Caenorhabditis elegans: one gene and its partner. The main gene of each other region encodes a partner of the protein of the gene in region 2 in a complex. Each region holds a gene or a part of one and is shown on either strand. Other genes may lie near its edges. A codon is read from its position in the direction of its gene.

Region 1 (4,948 bases), 1.9 Mb from region 2:
CCACTTCTCGCTCCGTCTCACCACATTACAAATTCCCATACGATTCGGGAGAGTTGTAGCATTTTGAAATATATCTTGGCATAGTAGTTTTGCAATCGAAGCATCTGCTCAGAGCTCTTTTTTTGAGTAGTCATAGTAATATTATTTTTACTAACATCATATTCAAAATAATTTTTTGTATATTTGAAATTATTGATTCGTTTTGAAATTTATGCATAGTATACTTTTTCAATAGGGTTGCACAAAATATATATGGATTTTAATAGTATCTACGTTTTTGGTCTAGCAAATAATATTGAGTTTTAAACTTTTTCTCTTCAATTTCGACCAGTTTAAATGTGATGAACAATAGAGCAACTCGGTAATTGGTTTTTAACTTTCAAATATATTTTTTCGCGGAAATGTTTTTTAAAATGATAAAAACTGCATAGTTTTATCTGAGAAATCAAAAATTGTTTCTATTTTTGATCAATTTATATTTTTAAAATCAATGCATCTGACTCCTACAATTTTTTCGTTTTTTCGATTAGTTGTTTAAATCTGTTTTAAAATGTATAAAATAATCTATAATACATTTCTAAAATAATTTATCCAATGAAATTATATTTCTGTTCACTGCATAGATTTGGTTGGGAAGTAAAATTAAAAATGCCACATTTTTTAAAAATAACATTCATTCGAATTGTACTATTTTTCAAAATTAACTCATCTGTGGGTTTATTGTCTTAAACTGTACGATTATTAGCAAACCAAAAAAAATCTGGGCTTTTTCATAGTTTTTTATCGTTTTTTTCACAAATTTTTCTCATATTTTCCTTTGATATTCCTAACTATTTGACTGAGTAATACAATTTATAGACGGAGTTGGGAAATCGGATTTTTGTCTTAATATTTAGCAAAAATATGCTGGTGTTATACAGGTAATCGCTGATTGGTTGCATTAGTCATTTTGGAAAAATTCAAACAAAAAAATTAGCAGAAGCTGGTAATTTGCAATTTTACGAACTGGACTTTTTCATCTTCCACTATTTATTTTCATTTGGTTTGTCGAAAGTCCACCTTTGAGACAATAATCGCAAAAGTAATAGTCCATATTTAATTACTCTCCACTCGAACCTGTTCGATTGTATAATGTTTGCACAAAAATGAATATTTCATAACTATACTCCGTCATCAATGTGCAAACATTCATACTCGAGCACTTGTACCACATTCTTAAACTTTCCCTCCGCAGTTCTTCATTCACCCACCTGCTTTGATTTTCTCCGCCAATCAATCGAGAAGTATTCAGTGAATCATAAATAAATGACATGTGTGTATCCCATCAAGTTTTTTTTCTCGCATCCTATTTCTTTCCCTTCCTTTTTTTTTCGTACCCCGTTTTATTCCTTCTCTCTTTTCCATATATTGCGGCCGAGGCCAGTAGTCTCGTGTCTTCCGCCCATTTTCTTTAATCGCGTACATAGTCCCTCTCAACTTATCCCAAATTTGTTTCCTTCAGTCCAGCTTAAGTTTCATACTATTTTTCTGTATCACTTTTGTTGCAGAAACATGGAGATCGCATTCGATTTGTCAACAATTTTTACGGATAACATTCAACGTCTCACTCGAACTGACCTATTGAAGTATGGACCAAAACGATATTGGGCTGTGGCTCAAAGTATAGATTGCCTGGGTGAAATGTCATCAAAGGTAGGTTCATGTTTTTTTCCAGAACTTTTTTGAAGGTTATTAACAATGCAAAACTTTTTATATGGCTTAGACAATTGAAAATGCACGGCATTTGTCTTTTTTTTTGCAGTTCCACGGATGGAAGAGAGTCATCACAATGTATGACAAGATCGTTGACCATGACGAGGAGCAGACGACCTACATTATGTGGGAGAAAGTTAATGGGTAAGGCATTTTGAAAGTGAAAACTGGAAATTATAAATTAAAAAAGTGGAAAGAATGTTTCAAAGGTGGAGTAGCGAAATGTGTTGCACATTTTGATCCTTGGCTTCGCGTTTTGAATTTAATACGTTTTGAATTTAATACGTTTTTATTAATAAGTATGAAAATTTTGGAATATTTAAAATGTTTGTTTTTTTGTAAATTGATAAACGCAATAAGGATTGCAACATTAAATAGTAGTTTAAAATTAAAAAAAAAAGATTTTTGAAAAGCTTTCATGAGGTTTTCATATACCTGAATATTGCAGTGTGTATATGAAAAAAAAAGATATAACTTTCAATAATTTGTCCATACCTCTTACTAATAGTAAGACCGTATTTTGAACTTCGAATTTCTTACTTGAATAAATCCTTATATAATCCTTATATATAAACCAACAATCTTTGTTATTGCAAAAAATATATATTGATATTAATTCTAAGAATTTCCAGTCAACAGTTTGTTTTGGTTTTGGCGAATAACCCAATTTTTGAATTTAGAGTTTTGTTGCTTTGCATCCTACAACGCATAATTAAATATAAGTTTCAAATTTATTTTAGTTTTGACTAAAAATATAAATGTAAAACTTAAAAATATATATTTTGGAATTCAATTTTTTTTGCTCATGATTAAAACTAAATTGGGAAAATCGTTCAAAAAAAAAGTTATCTTAATTATTGCTTTTCAGAAGCAAAAGTATACTCAAAGGGTTGCTTCGAGTTGGATATAAAACGCTTTATCTGACAGATAATGAACAAAATCAGTACATGGAAAAAGCAATGTGCATTTTGGACTTTTTCGTTGTGCCCACCGAACAACGCTCCGGAAATGGATTCAAAATGTTTGATGAAATGTTAAAAGTATGTTTTTTTAAATGTTTGTAGAAAAGTGACTTAGAGTTTTTAAATGTTCTACTTCAGGCTGAAAACGTAACAGTAGACCAATGCGCATTCGACAAACCATCAGCTGCTCTCCAACAATTTCTAGAAAAATATTATGATAGAAAAGATTTGGGTAAGTAAATTGCATTCTTGTACCACCGATACATTACAAAATTCGGCCGACAGCAAAGACCGACAAGGTAGATACAGCTCACAGCACCTAAACATACCCGATACTAGTGGATTTCGCACTGGATTAGCTGTTGCTCGCAACCGCAGACTTATTCCGGGTTCCGCGCTAAAGCATACTTTGCATGGAAGTAGCTGGAGCTCTGATAAGCTGATAAGATAATGCATTTTGAAGAGAGTGCTGAATGAGTGAGCAACAATGAAATCACCCGAGTTTCGTTGGCAATGAGCAGTTGTCTTTCATTAGTCATAATCAAAAGTTTTGTTTTTTTAGTAGTATGTCATTAATAATTGGTGTGGAATAAAAAGTTAATATGAAACAAATAAAACATTGATACAATATTCTATTGAAAACTAGTCCATAAAAATAGCTGAATAAAACTCGAATTTGTTATTAATTTTTGCTCGTAAAACAGAAAAATTTATTTCCTCCACTTTCTTGACAGAAATGGATCCCAAAACCTAATTTTAAGCTGAGTTTCATTTGAAAATGTTTAAACACTTTTAGAAAATTCAAATAGGAAAGAATTATTGAACTCATCCATTTTTATCAATAATACTTGTCGAAAGCTTGCCGGAAATGTATTTATGATTACTTAGTATTTTGAATTTTGAACTAATAAAAATACCAGAACGATATTGTTTAAAATCTTTTTAAAAATCAAACTATCGCTCTATTTTCAAATTTGAATTAAATTGCATAAGTAGTTAGTTCACAGTTTTAAAAACTTTATCAATCCATTGTTAGTTTCTTAAATTTATTTCAGTCTTTGGATGCCAAATTATATTCAGAAAAAAAAGCCTTACTTGCAACAGTCATCAATTTGTATGCAAAAAACTTGATACTTAGTTTACGACCGTATTATATGTAGAAATTCTCATCATCCGCAACATTTCCAGTATGGCAATCAAACAAATATGCATTATGTTCAAATTTTTTCATTGGACGTCACCCAACTGTTCCATTCACCCCTCGCCAGACAAAACGAGCGTCTCGAGCCAGTTCAGCTGTGTCCAGTCATGCATCCAGCCGTAACACCTCCCCAATTGGGGTTTGTGAATAAAAAAATAGTTGTTTTGCAAAAAATAATATTTCAGCGCAATCGCCCCCGTCACGACTCGGTTGCTGATTTGATGCGCCAGGATATGTTAGCCGGAGTGCGTGCTGAAGTAGACCCAAATAGTCCAACAGGCTTGAAAAATGCTCGAGATTTTGGACATCGCCGGATTTGGTGATAAGCTGCTAGTTTTTGATTATTTACTTTGGCGGCAGTACACAATAAATATGCCTCCTTGCCTTAGTTATGATCTCATGATTTTTGATATTTCAATCCTTTTTCATAATTCTTCTAATCGCTTAATATCAAAGTTGGCTGTTTTCAAACTCAAAATAATAAATACGAATTATTCATACACAATGAACATAATTATTTAATTTTTAAAATATCAACAAAAAACTCGTAATAAAAGATAGAATGTAATTAGATGATTGAGTTAAATTTTCAGTTATGGTATTACTAACCGGAGTACGTCTGAAGCTAATGCTGAACCGATTGGGATTGTGGCCTAAAATGCAAAAGTTTTTGATTGATGGTAACCTAAACAGGTATCTAGAGAGATCTAGAGTTCAATTAACCGAATAGGGTCGTTTTTTTTTCAATTTTAAAAAGTTGCACTCACTTTGTGAAAGACAGTTTCTCCAAATATCCATAACCAGCTCTGTGCATAGGCTATGGTAGAATAGTAATCGGATTGTAACCGTGTGTGCTTGATTCCACTGAAAACCGATGCTACGATATCATTCACAATAATTCGCCCGTTTTTTGTTATTGGGGCATAAATTCCCTTTCTTTCGGTTATCGATATTCTCATGACTCTTTGTTGGCGAAATTTTCCCTAAAATAGAAATCAATTGTTATTGGAAAACTGAACAGAAAACTTACTTT
Region 2 (3,939 bases):
AATTTGATTTACTGTGGGCTTTTGAAGAGAGGAGATATACAAAAAAACATTGCTAGGAAGAAATCACCAATTCGATTTACAATATATATATATGGTCAACCTAAACGTAAAACATTGAATATTATAAAATCAAAATTAATTCACGATGGACCGTTTTTGAACATAACTTTTACAAGCTTCATCATGACAATGATAATATGACGATCTTATGATTTTGCTTTCACAGTGTGCGAGGAAACGAGTAAACAGAATAACGAAAGAAGAACAATATACTCGTTCTGCTAATCAGTGTAGTCGGTATTCGATTGTTCTCCTCCCCTAATTTTTTCCACGGAGAGTCCTGTTGAGAATGGATTCTTCAGCTAGCTTCAACAGCTTCTCCTTCTTCTTCTTGTCTTGTGTCTGTTTCTACTTCTCTATCTAGTTGTTCGTCAACTTTTTATGAATAGCCGCCAATCGGTCGGGACGGCGGCGCAAATTGCGGGAAAGAGATGCCGGGGACGCGCTTGACTCTTTTTTTTTCTCGCGCGTTCACAAGATTTCTGGGCGATGGAAGAGGAGACAAAAATTCTAATGACAAAAGGTGTCGCTGTGGTGATGCAGGAAAAAGACAAGAAAACCTGATTGCAATCCATTTTTTTTTCAGGGAGCTACGCCGACACTTGGAGATATCGATGATGATCTTCTCGGATGGGGTGATGACGATTTGGATAGCACCTTGAAAGAGGTATGTACTTTAGAAAATAGTTTTGAAAAAATATTACCTATTATCAAAAAAAATTCCGTTCGTCGTTTAGCCAATGATGTATGAAATTTTAAGCAAAGAAATTGATACTCAAGACAGCTCGCTGATTAGAAAAAAAAAACAAAAATTATGTAGTAATCTAGAAATGTAAACCTGTCATTTCTGTGTATTTCAGCACCGCGAAGAGCACCATAAACAGCTACAACAAGAGCACGAACGTCGGCTCCAACAGAAAAAGCTGCAAAACGCTGGTACTCACCACATGCTCTGATAATTGCCATTTCCTTCGATTTCTGACTTTCAATTGTGATATGATAACCTCAAAATCTCCATTCAAAATGAAAACTCTTAAATTTAAGAGCTTTCAACACCCCGCACTTTCCCACCTCATCGTTTTTCCCTTCTATCTTATCAATTTTTTGTATTTTGTGTCAGTTTGCTATATCCTCATCACCTTTTTTACCGTTTAATCTCTCTATAGTATTGTTCGGGTGTTTCAAGATGAAACGTTTTGTGTGTAGCATTTTTGAAACACAGCGCGAAAAATGCAGAAACTATCATCCACAATGCATTAAGTGCACTCATTGTGATGACTCCTAACCCCCTCGCCCCACCAGTTGTCTCTTCACAAATTCATGGCACAATTCAAAAATGGCTTTTTGTGTTGGATCTTGATCTCGTCTCTTTCCTTCTTCTTTCGTTTCTCTCGGACCACTCATTATTCGAATGCCATGCATTTGTTGATGATGCGCAGCGATGGTCGCACACACTACAACAGATATGATGGTGGCTGTGCGTGGTGCAGAGCTCATGAATAAGTGATGGGGCACCGAGATGTGACTCCTCCCATTATTCGTCTTGAGTCGCATCTTTTGTCTTGGTCCGTTGTCAGTCGAGCCTCAAGGCAGCCGTTCCGCCAGTGATCGCCTGCTAAGAAGTTGTAGGTGTAGAGGAAGAAACGTCGGGTCCAAATTTCAAGCAACATGCGCGAGATCGTTCATATTCAAGCCGGACAATGCGGTAATCAAATCGGTTCGAAGGTTAGTATTTTCAGTTATAATGTTCCTAGTTGTGCTTTATGCCAAGCAATTTCAGTTCTGGGAGGTAATATCCGATGAACACGGCATTGACCCATCTGGCCAGTATGTGGGAGACTCTGATCTTCAACTCGAAAGAATCAACGTCTACTATAATGAGGCCGGAAGCAACAAATATGTTCCAAGGTATAGATATAGTTTGTTTTGTCATAATTTTTCATGAAATTATTTTTTGATCTAGACGTTTTCCATGATTTTTGACATATACCGATTTTGTCCACCGTTTACCTAACTGTATGTTTTTCAGAGCTGTCCTTGTTGACTTGGAGCCAGGAACCATGGATTCTGTCCGTTCTGGACCATTCGGACAACTTTTCCGTCCAGACAATTACGTATTTGGTCAAAGCGGTGCTGGAAACAATTGGGCCAAAGGACACTACACCGAGGGAGCAGAACTTGTAGACAATGTTCTTGACGTTGTCAGAAAAGAAGCAGAAAGCACAGATTGCCTTCAAGGATTTCAACTTACTCACTCACTTGGAGGAGGTACTGGATCTGGAATGGGAACCCTTCTCATTTCAAAAATTCGCGAGGAATATCCTGACCGGATAATGAACACCTTCTCGGTAGTTCCAAGTCCAAAAGTATCCGACACTGTAGTCGAACCCTACAATGCCACCCTCTCTGTCCACCAGCTTGTCGAGAACACCGACTCGACGTTCTGCATTGATAATGAGGCCTTGTATGACATCTGTTTCCGCACTCTGAAACTGACGACACCGACATATGGAGACCTTAACCATCTGGTCAGTGCCACAATGAGCGGCGTCACTACTTGCCTCCGCTTCCCTGGTCAACTCAATGCGGATCTACGAAAGTTGGCAGTGAACATGGTTCCATTCCCACGTCTTCACTTCTTCATGCCAGGATTCGCACCACTGACTAGCAGAAGCAATCAGCAGGTTTGAATAATGAAAAAAAAACAACTTTGTGATAACTTAGTTTTTAGTATCGTGCCATTACTGTCCCTGAGCTGACCCAACAATGTTTCGACGCAAAGAACATGATGGCTGCATGCGATCCAAGACATGGACGTTATCTCACCGCTGCTGCCATTTTCCGAGGAAGAATGAGCATGAAGGAGGTTGACGAGCAGATGCTCAACATCCAGAACAAGAACTCTTCCTACTTCGTGGACTGGATTCCAAACAATGTCAAGACCGCAGTTTGTGACATTCCACCAAGAGGATTAAAGATGTCCGCAACATTCATCGGAAACTCCACCGCCATTCAAGAGCTCTTTAAGAGAATCTCAGAGCAGTTCACAGGTAAAATTTTACGATTTGTATTTTGACTAATTTCATATTTTTTCCAGCTATGTTCCGCCGCAAAGCTTTCCTTCATTGGTACACTGGCGAGGGAATGGACGAGATGGAATTCACTGAGGCGGAGAGCAACATGAACGATCTTGTTTCGGAATACCAACAATACCAGGAGGCAGCTGCTGATGAAGATGCCGCCGAAGCGTTCGACGGAGAGTAAATCATATTTCCTAACCAAGTTTTATTGATCGATTGTTATATCATTTTATTCAGCCTTTTTGCTTTGCTTTTTTTTTCATGGGGATTTCACAATTGATAAATTTTGATTAGCTAAACAACTGTTAAACACGGAATTTAAGGCTTGTTTTTTTTTTAATCAAAAAGCTCACTATATACAATTAGAGATCGGAAAAAACGAATGAAGGTGAAACGTGTTACAGCATTGTATACTACATCTTGAGAAACCCAGTTCAAAATTAACGTTATATAATAGTTGTTCAAAAGAGAGTTGGTATTTATATTGATACGAAAGCGTCTGACTTTCGCCCTGATCCAACTGTAATTTGCCGTTTATCTTCTGGAACATCTTTCCTTTTTGTGCTCTGTCTCAGAAGTTTTTCTTCGTGCCGACTTTTAAAGAAAAGGGAAATCATATCAACAAGCAGAACACAAACTTCCATCACGGTGATTACGGAGAATCCTGAATTTATTGCCTTCGTTCCTAGTCTCAAATCATTCTTTCATACCTAGCCAAAGTCCTAAATGTCCTCCAAAATCGGCGATCAAGTTAACCAAACCGTATGCCTCTGATTCTTGAAGCAGTTCGTAGTTCAGT

What was found. The genes of interacting proteins can lie anywhere in the genome.
Region 1: the proteins of mec-7 (region 2) and atat-2 are in contact, whole or in part, in a cryo-EM structure (PDB 8Y9F), measured with the Caenorhabditis elegans proteins. Residues at the interface, in NP_509313.1 of Caenorhabditis elegans: Gln15 (codon at 1,771), Ser18 (codon at 1,780), Lys19 (codon at 1,783), Glu22 (codon at 1,847), Ser33 (codon at 1,880), Ser75 (codon at 2,127), Val76 (codon at 2,130), Arg77 (codon at 2,133), Ser78 (codon at 2,136), Gly79 (codon at 2,139), Pro80 (codon at 2,142), Phe81 (codon at 2,145), Gly82 (codon at 2,148), Gln83 (codon at 2,151), Leu215 (codon at 2,547), Lys216 (codon at 2,550), Leu217 (codon at 2,553), Thr218 (codon at 2,556), Thr221 (codon at 2,565), Tyr222 (codon at 2,568), Gly223 (codon at 2,571), Asp224 (codon at 2,574), Asn226 (codon at 2,580), His227 (codon at 2,583), Leu228 (codon at 2,586), Phe270 (codon at 2,712), Pro272 (codon at 2,718), Leu273 (codon at 2,721), Thr274 (codon at 2,724), Arg276 (codon at 2,730); in NP_001379875.1 of Caenorhabditis elegans: Gly238 (codon at 4,158), Arg240 (codon at 4,164), Thr249 (codon at 4,191), Lys252 (codon at 4,200), Asn253 (codon at 4,203), Arg255 (codon at 4,209), Asp256 (codon at 4,212), Phe257 (codon at 4,215), Gly258 (codon at 4,218), His259 (codon at 4,221), Arg260 (codon at 4,224), Arg261 (codon at 4,227), Ile262 (codon at 4,230), Trp263 (codon at 4,233).

The regions. Positions count from the first base shown.
Region 1 is NC_003284.9:5,847,557-5,852,504, forward strand, and holds atat-2 (Alpha-tubulin N-acetyltransferase 2), read left to right. Parts: upstream 1-1,543; 5' UTR 1,544-1,551; coding exon 1,552-1,692; intron 1,693-1,801; coding exon 1,802-1,896; intron 1,897-2,620; coding exon 2,621-2,792; intron 2,793-2,852; coding exon 2,853-2,946; intron 2,947-3,902; coding exon 3,903-4,054; intron 4,055-4,100; coding exon 4,101-4,238; 3' UTR 4,239-4,415; downstream 4,416-4,948. Other genes in the region: hog-1 (HintN domain-containing protein), read right to left, coding at 4,509-4,568, 4,683-4,898, 4,946-4,948. UniProt on the Caenorhabditis elegans protein: Specifically acetylates 'Lys-40' in alpha-tubulin/mec-12 on the lumenal side of microtubules. Promotes microtubule destabilization and accelerates microtubule dynamics; this activity may be independent of acetylation activity.
Region 2 is NC_003284.9:7,774,356-7,778,294, reverse strand, and holds mec-7 (Tubulin beta-1 chain), read left to right. Parts: upstream 1-1,605; 5' UTR 1,606-1,728; coding exon 1,729-1,785; intron 1,786-1,840; coding exon 1,841-1,968; intron 1,969-2,089; coding exon 2,090-2,744; intron 2,745-2,791; coding exon 2,792-3,110; intron 3,111-3,157; coding exon 3,158-3,324; 3' UTR 3,325-3,439; downstream 3,440-3,939. Other genes in the region: ZK154.4 (uncharacterized protein), read left to right, coding at 647-727, 921-1,016; Degenerin deg-1, read right to left, coding at 3,620-3,804, 3,851-3,939. UniProt on the Caenorhabditis elegans protein: TTubulin is the major constituent of microtubules, a cylinder consisting of laterally associated linear protofilaments composed of alpha- and beta-tubulin heterodimers.